Linked DNA regions of Struthio camelus. The protein of the gene in region 1 purifies or fractionates together with the protein of each later gene. This does not show direct contact. Links are inferred from orthologs where the notes say so. Each region holds a gene or a part of one and is shown on either strand. Other genes may lie near its edges.

Region 1 (8,256 bases):
TAAACCATTTCAAACTCTAAGTCTTGTTTTAAGGTAAGGTAAATAAAATATAGCGTGATATTCAGTTCCAAAGGTTGATTTATATTCTACTGTATAATTCTAATGTAATTTCTAATGCAATAGAAAGTTGTATCCTTTCCTTAACCTCAGTGTAATTGCTTTTGCATATAGTTGGAAATTCTCTTTTGATAGAATAAAAGAAAGTCAGTAGGAGTGTTCATTCTGTTGTTCACAGTTCTTTCATTGTCTGTTATTTCCCCTGTCTCATCTGCATTAAGCAGTTCAAATGTTTTCTCTTCAGATGTAATAACTTTTATCTACTTATTTTCATCAACTCTCTCTGGACTCCGTTATGGACACGTAGAACATTTTCCTAAATGATTGGTACTAACGAAGTGGAAGAGTTATCCACAGGCCACACCAAGCCTCCAGCATTCAAATTTGTAATTCAAAGAGCAAAAGACTTGTAAGAGTTTTTATTTAAACCAGTGTTACGCTGCTCTTCTCTTTTCAGTATCTTGCATTTAAATGAAAATGGGGCCACAGGATTTTTAATGAGTATTTTATGAAGCCAAAGGTTCACAGCAATTAGCAATTTTATCAGGTAATTAATGTGTAGAAACAGTGCCATGTTGTTCACCAGAGAAACCTTAACATGAAGCGCACCTTACGTTATGTGAAGATTGGAAATGATACACAGTGAGAAACATTCCTTTAGTTCCAATGTGTATTTACTAGTGAACTGTTTTTTTAATTTCAATAGGATTTTAAAAACTTACAGAGGCTTGAGATAACTGTGATGTGTCTGTAACCTGAGGCCAGAACATAGGCTTCACTTACTGCAGTATGACTGCTACAATCAATTCATGCAAATATATTTGTCTTTACCGTTATTTGACCTTTTCACTTCCCATTTGTATTTTTAGTTCATGCTGATATCTGTCACAATCCCATATTCTCAGAGCAGAGACTGTATTCTTTACACAGAGCTGAATATAGTTTAAGTCCTAATTGTGCCTGCAATATGAACAAGAAATAGAAATAATGAATACCCCTTACAGCTTAATGTGGAAAACATTGGGAGCCCAGTCCTGCTTCTGTTAATGCCAAATTGTACATAAAGTTGCAAGAGGAAAAAGAGTAAGCTTTAGGCCTCTTTGTCAGGATACAACTGTGAAATTTAGTCCTCAAATATTGTAGTTATTACTGACATGGAAGGGCTTATGTCTAAGTACAGGAATTAAACCTGGGCATGCTCTAACCTATGTTAGTTTTCCTAAAGGGTAGTCTGAAAATAAGGACATCATAGCATGACATTTTTGGGCCATACCATGTCTTTTTTACCTTATTTTTATCAGACTCTTTCACCGTTGGAGTTGCAGAGGAAGTAACGTAAGAACGGGCCTCATTTCACACTCAGACTCTCAGCACTGGATCCACCCTCACTAGCAGAGATTCAAGTCAGGTACACTAAAATGACAATGTCTGCAAAATCTGCCAGAGGTTGAAACAGGAATTCAGCAGAAGAGAAAGAACTACTCTATTTACATTACTAAAACCTCTGACACTAAAAATTACCTGTGAATCTAGTAACTCATTTGATTGACCAAAACACAGCACAGATTGTCACACTAAGAACAAGAATAGAATACTATGATAATAATTACATTCATATTTTAAGTATGCTGGTTGAAAATTGTAGTCACATATTTCTGAAAATGCTAACTAATCTTGTATACAATAAATATTTGTGCATTTGAAATATTTAAGCTTTTAATTTTTACCCAACTGTGCCCTTTAGTAACCCTTTGAAAACACTTCATTTTAAACTCGGTAGAAACATTACTCACAAGTATATACAAAATTATACATATTCAAATGACTGTTGATAGATGTAACCCTGCTGGGACTTTAGGTATCTAAAATTATACTTCAAATAATTTATGTATTTGATTTAATCTCAAACACATGCATAATTGCCTACATCATGCATATTTTCTATTACATATCTGTTTGCAAGCCATTGAATAGAGGTGTTTTGTAAGTATACAGCAGTTTGCAGTAATGGATTCTAGATGAGACCAGAGATTGCTTGCTATACAAGATGATCTCTAAACAAGCACAGAGAAGTGACAGCTGCTTAGCAGCAGCTATGTTCTTTTTTTATATATTACGCTACTGACATAATGTAGAGGAATTTCGTGTTTTCTCACCTGATTGTATTGGATGTATGCATGCAAAAAGAGGTTGAAAACAAGACTACAGCTAGCATACACTATTTTACTGAGGCTGGCAAGAGGATGAATAAGAATGCCTCTACAACTGAAATTATTGTGCTAATAAATAGTTATACAAAGTAACAATTGTTACACAGACCTTGTGCATCCAAGTAACGAATGGAGTGCCAGGTTACTGGCTTCTTGGATCACAGATTGCTGCACAATTGTTCTAAATCACTTAACTTTTTCGATTATATCTGTCCCCCACACACGCTATTTCAGCTCAAGTTATCATCCATGCTAAATTCAGAATCCAAACTCCCAAATTAAGGAGTAAAACATATGTGTGCATTCCTAAGTAGGCACATAAGCAAGCAAGCAAACAAAATGTGGGAAATATAAGAAATAAACATGCATTTGAGCATTTTGTTTGGTCATAAATAAAAGCAATGGTAGCTAAGCAACACAAGATGATCTATGATTTTTTATGAAGGATTAAAGTGGTTTGTGATTTCTTCAAAACATTTAATGCTGTTTTGATTTAAATAGCTCTGCTGTATTTTTAAAACTAATATAAATAAGTGTATTTATATTTAAAGACAAATGTTAAAGGTATTAGCATTATTAGCCGGCACTCCAGCCGGCACTAGCTTTCTGGCTGTGTGACTAGGTGCAGCACCTTGCACACTAGTATTTCTGGTTATTCCAGAACAGACATATTAGCCAGAAGGCAGACATTGTTGTTCCTTGCACAACATACTGAACATGAAGACCTCATTCTTTTAATGCTGATTAAAAGCTGAGTCAACAAAGGAGCTATGCAGATAAGTTATACAGTTATATGAAGAAATGGGAAGCTTTAGCAGTCATAGAGCATCCTTGTAAAAATTGTGCAATCAATTTTTAAACTGATCTATTGAAATATCCTTCTCTTTAAAGTATATGGTTATTAGATCTGTGTAGGTGTAGACCACACCTGCCAAGCTAACTCTTGACAATACACATTACTCAAGACAATACACATTACAAAAGTGACACCAATTGCTGGTGCAGCAACCAGTGAATTGTGGTCTTGCTTCGGTGCCACAGAAAATTTTTGTCTTTTTTTTTCCAAGTTCTGTGACTGCTGATCAGCAGGATTTGTGTTCTACTGAGAAAGGCAGTGGGAGGGGGGAAGAGGAAGCACAATAACAAAGTGGAAAAACAGAACATTTCAGCAGAGCAAATGGAACTGGGGAGATTCACATCACAACAGCTTAATGCTTTTATAGTTGGGCTTAATCTTACTGAAACCAGCAGGTTTAATGTATGTTTTTACATTTAAGGTAGTTGCCCAAGGAGTTAAATATGTGTATCCACACAAAACAAGAATGAATGCCAGCCATGCAGCATGTAAATGCTTTGGGTGGGAGGGTTCCACTGGGTATTTTTCTAGAAGAGAAAAAAGTTATAGAAATAGAGACAATAAGCTTGAGACTGAAGTTTATACCTCAAAAAAGCAGTTTTTCCTTTTGGGGCTGTTTCAGAAAGTCAAAGTCCTGGCTTCTCTTAACAACATGAAGACTGCTTCCAACCTGAAGATGATACAACCTTGCTTTCTTTCAAGCCACTGTCACAGCTCTGATCCCCTGCAGTGCCCTCAGTAACACCAGGCTAAAGTTCAGGGATGGTCAAATAAGGCAAATTAAAGGTTAAGAAGTATTAGCAAAGAAACAGAGCACCAAGCAGATAATAAATATGCCACTTTGTAAATTCCTGCTATGCACACACTTGAACGTTATGTGCGGTGCTGATCCTTCCTATTTTAGAAAGGATACAGCTGAAACATTTCAGAGAAGCTAACAAAGATTATCAAAGGTTGGGACAACCTCTGTGTGAAGAATGACTAATTAGCCAGGAGTGTTCAGCTTCCACAGGGAGTCAAGGGGTAGTAAGAGAGACATCCATAAAACGGGTAGCAGGGACACTGTGAATGGGGATCAGCTGCGCTTTGGCTCTCCCAGTACAAGAACAAAGGGTTATAACATGAAATTAGGACTTGGCAGGTTTAAAAGGAAACGTGTTTCTCCACAAAATACGTAACTGAGCTAGAAACATCTTTTGACCGAGATCTTGCGCACATTTAAATTTTACATGGTCTAATGGGGCAACAGGACTTCACAGAAGAGAAATACGCTGGAAATGATTAAGTACGTAGACGCTGTCCCTTTCTCGAAAATTCCCTGAGATACCAGTTGTTAGGGATGATAAAACATTCTGCAGAGCAAGCTGAAAATAACTTTGCAGCGGCTCAACTCTCTTATTTTTCCCTAGGCAGCGACTGTTTGTTGCCGTTACGGACAGGGCAGATAACAGAGACAAAACACAGGGCTGGGCAGTAAGAGTGCTGTTATTGACCTCGCCTAGGCGGATGCCATCCTCGGCCGACGCCACATCACCCTCACCCCTCAGGGAGGAAGGCCCGCCGGCAGCTGCAGGCCCCGGCCGGCGCTGGCCAAGGCGCAGACCCAGCACGGCCCTTCCCCTCCCAGCACCACCACCTCACGCCTCGGCCGCACAACGGCTTTCAGGGCAACGGGCTGCCGGCCTGCTTTAACTGCTCGCTTCTTTAAAATCCAGCCTCAAGCTGCGCGACAAAGGCCACCGACCTATGTCGTTTAACAACAGGAGGCACCGCCAGCGCAGGCTTGGGGCACGCGTCTTTGGGCCCTGCCGCCGCTGCACGGGGCCTGGGGCGCCGCCATGACACCACCTGCCCCGCAGGGCGCCACCAGCCCCTCGCCCCGGGCCGCGCCGTGGGCGCCCCCCACGCAGACACGGCCCCGCCGCCGCCCCCGCCCCGGCGCGGCCCAGGCCCAATAGCAGCCGGGGGCGGTCATGGCGGGGCGGGGCGGGGAGGTGGGGTTTGCGCTTGGCGCAGGCGGGCGCCGATTAAATGCAGCTGGGGAGGCGGGGGAAGGGGCGCGGAGATGGCGGTGACGGGAGTCGGGCGGCAGCAGCGGGACTTGGACAACGTGAGCGCGGGCCTGCGCGGGGGCGGGAGGGAGGCCGCGTGTCCGGGCGCCGCGGCGGGGCCGACCGCCGCCGCCTCCTCGGAGGTGGCGGGCGGGGGGGCGCCTGGGGAGGCCGCTAGCGGGGCCCGGCGGGCGGGGAGGTCCGGGCCCGGCGCTCCTCGCCGTCCTGGCGGCCGCCCCAGGCTTTCTCTTCCCCTCGGGGGCAGGCGGCGGGCAGCGCAGCTGAGCGGGGCGTATCTCCGGCTGCCGCTTCCAGAGGGAGACGCCGCCTGCCTGGGGCGGCGCGACCCGGCCGGCCCGGCCCGGCCGCGGGGCTGGTGGCAGGCCCGGCCCGCCTTGTCTGTAATCGGGGTTCTTGACCGAAGTGCTTGTGTGGCTTTGGTTTCTCCGTGTGCCGCGGTTTTGTTTTTGTTTTTATTTTTTTTTTGGTGTGGTCGGTGCTGGGCAGGGCCTGGAGCTGGCAGGGCTGCCTTAACCTGCGTTTGCATTAACATCTGTGACTAACAGAAGTCGCTCTTTTTTCTTCCCCCCTTTTTTATTATGTTTTGATTAGGCTTTTAATAGTAGTGGTTATAGCTCATTCTAATTAAGTGAAGTCTGAACTTGATCTCATTAGGATGCCTGTTAGATTTTGTTAATGTCAGATTAATTGTGTTCTCACCACTGTGTCTCTTGCTTTTATTCCCTTCCTCCCCACGCTGCCTGTAATAATAACTCTTCTGGGAGGTTATGGCCTTCAGTGTTTCCTGATGTTTGCTGTATTTCACTGTGTGAAGATGAGCTGCAGGCTCTCATACAAAGCAGTGTGGCCCAACAGCTGATAAAGCTCTGCCTATGAAGGAATAAATTGAATTGTCATTGAATTTTACAAGTGGTCATGTATTTCTGTGACACAAAGGATATCATCCAGACTAGCAAAGATGGTTGTTCTGGTGGGAGGAGTGAGCTGTTGACCCTGTGCATTAGGGAGGGCAAAGTAGAGATGTTTTGGTTGCTGACATGCCTGTCCTACATGCTCACTTCCAGACTTTAAAGATCCACCTGGTCCCTGAACAGGGGTTGTGTGGGTCAGAGGCTATACCAGTAACATGAACAGTCCAATAACATGTGCAGATCTTCAGGTCTGCAGTAAAACATTGTTTTACCAGGTGAGTATTTTAGGAAGGCTTGCTTACAGACGACAAGCCTAATCAGAAGGTTGAAAGGAATCAAGTGAGGAGAACACGTTCAGTCTTCTGTGGTAGGTGGTGAGTGTTGTGTGCACACTACTAAAGTAAAATTAAACACTGACTGAAATAACTATTGAAACTAGCTCCTTCATTGTAGGCAGGCAGCTGTATGTAGGAGAAACAAGATTGGGGAGCCAATAGATAGGTGCACTGTTGTGGTTAATATGAAGTGTAAAGCTAATTCTAGTTTCAAAACCTTTGTTCCTCTGTCTCACATCTTTCTCCTCGTACTAGTGTCTTGAGGAATGAAATACTTAATTTCTCTTGAGCTTTGCCCTGCTTTCTATCATGGCAATGCGGAGTCCTAAGTTTTAACAACAATAAATAGTCCAGTGGGCTATGGTGTATCGCTTTGATTAGCCAGAACTCTGGAGTGGTATTGGGTCAGCTGTTCTTTCTTGGCTTTGGTACCCCACCCCCCAATCCATAGCAATAGAAGCACTTCCAGCAAAAAGCAACCACTGGTAGTGCTTTCTAGATGGTCACTTTCTAACTTCTGCTGATCATCTCTGGAAACCCCTTTGATAATGCTCTCGGCAGGGGTTTCTCCGCTCTGCATGCTTTATTCTGGGCTGTGACTGGCCTCATTGCAGAGGAGACCAGGCAAAACTTTACCAGGGACCTTATTTTTCAAAGCAAACAAGGTATAGCATGGAAAGTAACAGGATGCCAAGGGAGAAACTTGAGTTTGAGTCACTGGCAAGCATGTTGTTCATTCATAATGGCTGTGTACATTCAACTTCAGGTGTGCCAAATGGCTGTATTCTAGTTTGGAAGTGACAAAGATAAAGGCCACTAGGGCAACTTTTTTGTCTGTTAGGAAAGGTGTTCCTGCCACCCATACTTATTTTTAAAAACTGCAAAAATTACTCTGGGAAACATACATAGCCAAAACATGAGCTCATGTGAAGTCAAAGAAGGCTGCTGATACTCCCTAGTGGAAGTAGGGAGTGTTTTGACCTGTACCTGGAGCACCTCCCTGCTTCTGCACTGCCTTTTTGCTCTTGCCTGGATTCAGTTTGAACCAGCTGACACTTACTGAAGAAATATTTGTATGAACCTTTTGATATGGTACTAGTATTAGTAGCTGAATCACTTCAAACTGAAATTATGTGTTGCTGGTACACTGCAGCTATCTCTGTTATCTTTGTAACTTTATTTTGACAAAAGCAAGAATAAGGATTTTTGCAGGACCTATATGAAAAATGAGAGAGACCTTAATTATCAATATTTCCACCTTCCCATGTAGGCATACTAGTTCTCTGTAGCCTTTGATAGGCCACAAAGAAGTACCTCACGGAGATCTTAGCTATATGTGTGGTCATCAGGCATTGCTTTAAGTGACAACCAAAGGCAAGGTTACTGTTTGGGGCTATTTTTTTTTCCATTCTTCTTATGAAGAACCTCTGTAGTAAAGTCTTATGCTTATTGAGTTCTTCATATGCTAACTAAAGTTCCTCCAGACTCATTGCAATGCTAGGTAGTAATTAGTGTCAAATTCTTGAGTGACTGAGTTATTACATAAAGGTGTGAAAAGAAATAGTTTGCTTACAACTTAGGGAGCATGTCTCCCAAGAAATTAACATAGTTCTGTCCCCAGAGCTGAAGTTTCCAGCAGGACGTTGCTGAAACTTTGTACCCTACTTCATAAGCTTCCCTGGGGTTACTTTTTCTTTTTTGTTATCCTCCCCTGCTTCAGGGTTCCTTGGAAATAACACAGAGTTTAGAAGATGATCCTCTACTTGATGCACCACTTATTTCGTCTCATGCATTGCATTCCCAACTGAGGCCAAG
Region 2 (8,428 bases), on another chromosome or scaffold:
GTAAAACCTGCCCGGCACAAAGTACGCGGAGGAGGTAGCAAGTCAGAGAAGGAGAGCTTCTTTCTGCTCAGACTTTTGAGGTTTGCAACTCATGGGAAAGGATGGCTGCACGGAAACAACAGACATGAAAATTCAGTTCGGTCCTTACTCCTAAAAATATGTGAGGCTACTATGCATTTCAGCATACGTTCCCTCCTGCAATAGTCTGCCTGACCGGTCTAGCTGATCCATTAAAACCTGCAGATCTTTCTACAGAACTAGAGACTTTTTCTCCACTTCATGCCTTCGCAGGTGCTCACTCCTAACTAACTGGAGAACCTCATACTTAAACTAGAGAAGTGACTGAAGAAAAGGAGAATACAATCCAGTAAAGCAAAAGATTGTTCTGAATGTTATTTACACCCTCCATAGGGCATGCTGCTTCTCAAGGTTTTGAATTATTTACTCACCTCCATCATCTAATCACTGAATAAAATTCTGACTCTGGGCAGAGAGAAATTCTGCTCACTTCATCCCTTCAGGCTGACAGTGAACAAGTGGAAAAGACAGTGATAAGAATTACTAAACGCTCCAGGACTCATGAGATTTCTGAATAGTAGGAAAAAAAGAATACAGGAGCATATATCAAGAACAGCTATGTAGCTGAAGACCCCTGTTTACATTAATTTCTAGGCAGCAGAAGATTCTGTTAAAACTTCCACAGTGGCTGTAACGCCCCGTAAGGCAATACCTACAAAGGGAAATCCCTCAGCTAGCAGAATTAGAGACAAAAGTAGTACATCTACCCACAAAGTAAGGCAGTAAACACTAAAGATTGCTTGCACATTCACAAACCACCGGTTTGTTATGCCTTTTTAGGAGAATTTTTGTTTGTACAGAGTTCTATGGTGCACTAGAAGATACCAGCTTTGCAATTTACTACTGCAAAGCACACAAACTTACTGCCAAGAAGTAGCTTAGAGCTCCAGCAACATTAAATAAAAGCTCATTTTTTAGTTAAAGAGTTATTTATTACTGCACCTGTGTACCAGTTCTGTATTACCATCCATTCTCATTTCAGAAGAAACTGGGCCAGGCCTTAAGTTTCTGGAAACCACTGCAACCTAGCCAGCATAGCCATGGTACTTCAATATAAACACACCATGTCACACGGCATGTTAAAAGACTATTGACTGAGCCAAAAGATAAGTATATTTAGAAGTAATTATTTTACCACAATTTGAAAAGCAGTATAAAACTAGCAGGAGCAACTTTACTAACTTGTTTTGTAATACTGCAATTTCTTGGCTTCTCAATGCTGTTTTACATATTAGGAAAGTCCCTTCCACCCTCATTAAAAAAAAAGATATGAAAAAAGACATAAATTGAGCTCTGAAACTATTTTTGCTATTAATTAGTAGGTGAGAGCAAAAGGAAGAAAGCTTATTTACTATGAGTAACTGAAAACATCCTAAGAAGAAGTATCAAGTTAACTACTACTCAGACTGTTTTCCTTACAGAGAAAGTAGCTTGCAATAACTTCTCCAAAAGGGATACTTCAGCACAGGTGGTGGTAGATGGCAGCAGTAAAGACTGAAGAAATGCTACAGTTAGCAAGCGCATACAGTAGACTTGACCAACACAGATAATCCCAACAGACATACAGCACCTTACACGCCCTGACCTGCTTAACAGTGAGTAACTGTAATTTTTGCCAGTACAGCTTTATTCCAGCTGCCAAAAGATGCACCTTCCCTATAAGAGATCTGATCTACTTTTAAGTAACTAGTTAGAAGATGTCCTCAAAAGCCACAGACACAAACGTGACAAGCATCTAACACAGTTGGCAGGAAGTGCTAGCATAGCAGAGGACTACGTTCAGTTAACTGCTAAATTTGTAATATAGAATTTGCAGGACAGGGGCATTCTCTTCATGAAACCTGAAGATCAGACAGCCTCCTTGCATGCTTTGCTCACGTAACAGTGCTGCAGACAGTAAAACATGATTAATAAAATTAGGGATTGCATTTATCAGAAGCAGATTAGCCTGGCTTTTTGCAACCTCTAGTCAGTCTACCTCTTTATAGAAGGAGCGTCTTTGGATATAAAGGTACACAAGGTTTGTGTGTGTGGTTTTTTTTTTGTTAAAAAAAAAAAAACCCACTACTTTCTCACCCTTACTATACCAAAGGCATCTACAAATGCAAAAGGAGTGCTATGGTATAATACTGCTACTTAATGCAACAGCAAACAGTGGCAAAAGTTGGCATTTAAGTATAAGGCTTTATAATGGAACAAAGAGAGTATTAACAAAAATACAGAGTGAACTGAGGGGCAGACAAGTCCATTCTCAAAGCCATGACCTGAAAGGACAACGTTACTCTGCAAAGTGCTCGTCACGCTTTGAGAACGCTTTATAAGGGAGAACCCCCTGAATTCATCCCAAACCTCACTTAAATACATAAACATATATAACTCATCTCTTCAGAGATAAAAACGCGTTACTAGCACTTGCTTGACTCCTACTTGAGTTTTCTTTTTTAAGGGGAACAAGAGTTATTCCAACACGCTCTATATCGCGTGAGAGTATGACCGTTGGTCTCCCCAGCTCCAAACGCGCCTCGGTTGCCGCTGGGAGCCGACCGGGAGGGCTCAGGAAGGCGGCAGCGGCCTGCGGGCTGACAGCGGCAGCGCCGAGCGCAGGGAGCCGGTCGGCGGCCTCGCCTGCGCCCTCGCCCGCCAAGGCCGCCGGGGCCCGGGCGCTCGCCGCCGGCTGCTCACCCACAGCGAGCAGCGGGGCCTTCGCTGCGCCGCAGAGAAGCGCCAGCCCCGACTCTCCCTCTGCGGGTGACGGCGCAGCCGGCAGAGCAGCCCCGGGCGGCGGCGGCGGCCGGAGGGGGGGGGGGGAGGGGGCGAACGTCGCCGCCGCCGGGGAGGGGCCGCGGGCAGCCCCAGGCGCCCCCGCGCGCTCGGCCGTTGCCCGAGGCCGCGTCACGTGCCCGACGCGGGGGGTGGGGGGGGAGGAGGGGGCACGCGCCAGCCGCCGCGGGGACAACAACCGCCCCCCGCCCGCGCGCGCGCGCGGCCCAACGGCCCTGGCGCGCGGGCCCGTCGCCCCCTCAGCTCAGCTCAGCTCAGCCGCGCCCGCCCGCAGGCCCCGCGCCCGCAGGCCTCGGCGCGCCCCCTCACCGGCGGTGCCGAGCAGCAGCAGGAGGCAGGCGGAGCAGCGCGGCAGGCGGAGCGGCCCCCGCGGCGACCAGCGCGGCTCCATGCTCCCGGCGGCGGCAGGCGGAGGGGTTGCGTGAGGCGGCGAGGGGAGAGCGGCGGGGAGGGGGGGATGCCTAGAAGCGGGCGGGCGCGGCAAAAGCGTCGCCGTCGGTCATGTGAGGGGATGGGCGGGGCTGTTTGCGCTCCGCCAATCGCCGCGCCCGCCCGGCTCGATTCCATGGCTCTCGGGCGAGGCGCGCGCCGCGCCTCCTCGGGCGGGCGGCGGGGGGGGGGGGGGGTTTGGGTCCGGGTGTTGCCTCAGGGGCTGGGGGCCATTTTCCTGCCACACGCCGGGTGGCAGCGCGGTGCCCGGCCGATCCCCCTGTAAGACCCTATTTCCACTTCGTATAGCTCTACTCTTTAATTTGTGTCAGCTTGGACTCGGGTTTTCCTTGAAAAAGGCCTGCTCTTGGCTAAATCTCCTTTTTTTCTTTTTTCTCCTTTTCTCTCTCTTTTTTTTCCCTGCTCTTCTTCTATTTCTCCATCCCTTCTCTCCTTCTCATCATATTTGAACCTTTTCCATGAGTAAGGCTGAGGGAAAACAAGTTTTGCATCCAATAAACAAAAATCTGCTGACCTTTCTTTCCTTGGGTGAACTCTAGCATTTCCATGTTGTGCAACAGGGACTTGGCAAGGAGGGGCCCTCTGAGCCAGAGACGCGGTGTTTCCTGTTCCTCTGACCGTCCGCTGCAGACTTCACAGTGCTGAAGATTTCTGGTGTGAACATGCTCAGAAGGGGCTTTGAAGATTTCAGTGGCCGAGCTCCTCTCAGATTTCGTCATCTTTCACCATTGTTGAACAAGAGAGAATCCAGCAAGAGTTAGGGGCACAGAAATACGTTATAAGAGGAAAGCTTGAAAGACTTTTTAAACACAGAAATGCCATCTCTGGCTCAGAACGCCCCTGACCGGCCTATTGTTCAAAGCTGGCATTGTGTAACAAAGAAGTAGCGCTATATATTTACTCTCTTCTTATAGTCTTCCCTGCATGTCCACTATTGGCTACTGCAGAAACAGGTTATGAGGCATTTACTTTGACCTCATACAGCCGTTCTGAAGTTAACTGGGCTCTTTTTAGGTTAAGAAGAAAAAGCTGAGAGAAGATACACTAAGAAAAAATTATACTTTTAATATAGAGACTTCCACTGGAAAAAAAATAAAGGAATAAACTATTTTCCATGTTTACAATAAATAGGATGGGAGAGAAATGGGCTAAAATGACAACAAATATTTACGTTAGATAGTGGGGAAGGACTAGTAGAGCTTTGCACTAGATTCGCATGCCAGATTGTGTTTTTTTAAAAAACAGGTTAGACAAACTTCCTTCAGGAAATTATTCTGTTGTAGGGCAGAGGTGGACTTAGATAGTCTCCCAATGTCCCTGCCCGCTCTAATCTCTGTGATTCTGTTATCCATCATTTCACATTACCCAGGGCTAATCAGAGATTATACCACACCTTTGCAGAAGTAGGCCCATTCTCTGCCCCTTCCTAGCTCTTCTTGTGTGTGAGCAGAATTCACATGTACCGTGCCTACTAAATGACTGGCTAGAAATCTTTCCAGTAATTGCTTCTGTTAAGGAGGGTGGAGTTTGGCATTAGCAGCAAGAACTGGGAGGCTTTGCTGCATTTGCACTAATGCCTAAGTGCAAGACAGAAAGAAGAAGGCAGGAGAAAGAAGCTGCCAGATGCAAGTGCAGGAGAAAACACACGATAGGGTAGATGGGAAGGGGAAGAAGACAAGAGTGGACATGAAACCTGGTGAATCTGAGACTGGATGGAGATATAAAATCAGCTGGAAGTTGAATTGAAGGTTGGAGGGTATTGATCAGAAACAGACACAAAGGTTGTCTTGGCACAGAAACCATGGTTAAGAGATGGGAAAGAAGAGACTGACACTGGGAGACAGCGAGGAGAACGGCAGGAGGATTCTCAGCTGCCTGAGGAAACAGGAGCTCTAGATTCAGTAAGGGCAGGCCCTACTGGAATAAGATATGTGTGTTTCTCTAGGAAAACCGCAAATGGTATTTGACTAACCAGGATCTAAGAGATATACCCAGTGATGCAGGAAGAGAATGAAAGCTCTTGAAGAGGACAATGAAACACTTCAACCTGGTATCGTGAGACAGAGTCTTAAGATAAGGCATAAAGGTGGTGTAGACAAGAGGACGAGCATAAAGTCTTGAGGAAGTTGAAATAATGCAATGTATGAGTATATGGTAATTAAATAGTCTAAGTTATGTACTTGTAATGCTGTACTTTTCCAAAGAATATCACAAAACAAAATCTGGCAAGGCTAGAACACCACTGAAACCAGTGAATTTTACAAACGGGGCTTCCACCCACAAGTGCTTGTGTGTTTTTTTTTTTTTTAATTCAGCCTTTGGGCTTAATTTACTGAAAACTTATCTGAGGAAATAAAATTTATGTTTAATACTTGAGCCATTGTTTGTTGTAGGCCGTGGGGGAGCTTCGAGTGTAGATGGAATGGCATAGATAATGGCATAGATGAAAGCACTAATCCTGAAAGTAGCAAGTCTTTGGGCTTTCAGCTCTAGGGCAAAAAATGGGGCAGTTGAAAGGCTAGGGAGAGTCCCATCTCCCATGCTTTTACATATCCTCATGCTTTGTTGTTTTAGTGAAATGGAACATGGTCACAATAGATCTTGTTCTTAAAGAGTGATCGTTCAGGCAGGAACTCCATTGAAAGGTTTTAAATATTAGGATAGCGACACTGAATTAGGCTTTAACTAACGGGAGCAGGAGAAAATGGGTGATATGTTCTAGGCAGTTGGTGTGCAGCAATGTCGTGTTTTGTGTCAGCTGGAACGTTTACTTCAGGACATGAGCTTTATTTATAAACACTAGTGTCTTGAATATCCCTTACTTCTGATAATATTCTGATCTCTTGCCGGTACCTTAGAAATGGACTGTAACATGACTAGACAATCTGCAGAAGTGAAAGGAAGAGTGATTCCTTGTTTCCATTGTGCCAGCTTAGTGAAGTGTGAAATGAAATCAAATGGTAGATACAGTAACAAGCAAATCTGTTCCTAATAAATTACACAGAGTCAGATTAGCGACTGGTGTAGGACTAAAAGGCTAGTATAGTGCATATAATCTAGCATGATGTAAAATATATTATTTTGCACCAGAAATATCGTTGATATCACAACTGTTAAAGACTGTCCCTAGCTACAATGTGGGCAGTGATGAGGCAGCCATGAAAGGAATCTCTATACGTTTCTGCCCTTCCGAGAGGAGTCCTTGGGAAGACTCCAAAGGGTGAAACTGTACCTGGAGTGAGTGGGTGCAAGCACTTTTCATTCACATGAGGGGTGGAGTTTGTCCAGCAAAACCCACATGCTTCAGCTATCTGAATGTGGTGATTATCCGTTAAAGATATGTTTGTGATTCTTAAAAACAATGCACTCCTGCATTAGCACAGTAATACTCTCCTCTTGCCTAGCCTGATAACAGAAGCTTGGTTTTGGCAGTATTCTCCCTACAAGGCCAATTTTTGGGCAGTTTCCAAAGCCTGTCTTCTCTTCGTAGTTCTCCAAGGAACAACATAAATCTGTGTTCCTCTCCCTTTTTCAACAAATCCTCCAGCTTTCCTTAGAAAGGATTGTACTGGCTGTGATCAGGTGTTATCTGATTCCTCTTAAATTCCATGAAAAGCAAATATACTCAGTACTTGTAGGATTCAATCTCTAACAAATATCCATAGCATCTTATTTATCATGAGTAAGTTCCTTGTTGACTATTGTGGTCTTAAAGATGACAGCATTTATGTGGGAGTGGGACTTCTGTAACAAAGAGCAAACTCTTAACGATCAGCTGCTTTCCTTGGATGACAAAAGTGCGAATGATTGCTAGTATGATGCAGAAAAAATGCCTTAGCCTTTTGCCTACTGGGGGGATAGGATTTTTTATTTGGCATAATTGTGGGAGCCACTGATAGATGGTAAAGCTGGTCCTGTTTTTCTAAGACGCTCCTTGCAGTTACTGCTGGATTTGAAAATGAGGACTGTAATGTCACTGTATCACATTACATTTTTACTGCCTGGTATACTTAGCTTGATGTCAGGAGTTTCAACAACATGTACTGAGGACAGATATGCGATACCTATGTGATTTCTTTTGTAAGCTTCAGTTCAGCGAGGAATATAAATTCATGCCTAATTTCAGATGTATAGGTTGTTCTATGGCTTTCATTCGCACCATATTCTTGATGTCCAACATATGCTTAATCCGTTGCTGAATCTCTTAGTAGTTTTCAGCCGGTTTGATATTATGTCTGTATTCAGATTTTCCTTAATCCTGAGACTTGAGAAAATCAAGGGATGATTGTGTGGACAGAAGCAAAGTGCTCAGCAATGTTTAACAAAGCACTGAATAAACTGAGCGTTTCTGATCACCGGTGCTGGAGATTACAGGTTGTGAAATGAAGAAAAAAATATAACATCTGGAGCAGGCAGTAATTACTGATTTATTCTAATGTTTTGTATTCACTATTTTAGATGTCTGTTTAAGCAACATGTTATTCCATGGTACATTTTTTCACAGACCAGATAATAGCGGAACCTTTCCAGGAGGTGGAGGAAGGATTTGGCACCATATCCCAAGGGAGGGGCTGATGGAAAGAGGATGGGGTTAATAATGGCAGGTCCTAGATTCACTTGGCAGAGGCGGATGAACCACAGGGGCCCTCTGGAAACTGTGGCAATGACTGCACGAGTTAAAGCTATGGAAGTTTTCCTTTTCATGTAGCGCCAGTTTGTAGTTTGGTTACTTGTGCTGTGCTGTGGCACAGGAATTTGCTGTGGTCTGGACACCTTAATGACGAGCCTGCTTTGTCCAGCGCAGCATGACATGTGAGGTGTTTCAGCTGCATGTGAAAATGTTGGTCTGCTCAGTGTTAGAAAAGGGATGACTCTTGACAGCTCTGTTATGGTAGCTCTAAGGCAATCGCTTAGTATCTAAAATGTGTGAAAACTGCGGTTCATTATTGTTCCGAGCAGATGGCAGTGTTTCTGAGTTGTCGGCTTTCTGGAGGAGGTGGTGGTAGGAAACCAAACCATTAAAAGCCGCTGCTCCAGGAAACTGCTGAGTCAAGACTCGGGCAATCACGTGGAATGCCAGAAAAAGAAACCTTTGTTAGGAGGCGAAGGGATCAGAGAT

What was found. Proteins that work in one complex are often made in the same cells at the same time.
Region 2: the proteins of TMEM192 (region 1) and LAMP2 purify together in Homo sapiens (affinity purification with western blotting; 5 studies listed by BioGRID and IntAct, with this or other methods). This does not show direct contact. The link is inferred for Struthio camelus from reciprocal best matches to the Homo sapiens genes TMEM192 and LAMP2.

What each region holds. Positions count from the first base shown.
Region 1 is NC_090945.1:43,271,659-43,279,914, reverse strand, and holds the start of TMEM192 (transmembrane protein 192), read left to right. Parts: upstream 1-5,155; 5' UTR 5,156-5,188; coding exon 5,189-5,233; intron 5,234-8,161; coding exon 8,162-8,256.
Region 2 is NC_090952.1:11,883,243-11,891,670, reverse strand, and holds the start of LAMP2 (lysosome-associated membrane glycoprotein 2), read right to left. Parts: upstream 3,364-8,428; 5' UTR 3,251-3,363; coding exon 3,169-3,250; intron 1-3,168. UniProt on the Homo sapiens protein: Lysosomal membrane glycoprotein which plays an important role in lysosome biogenesis, lysosomal pH regulation and autophagy.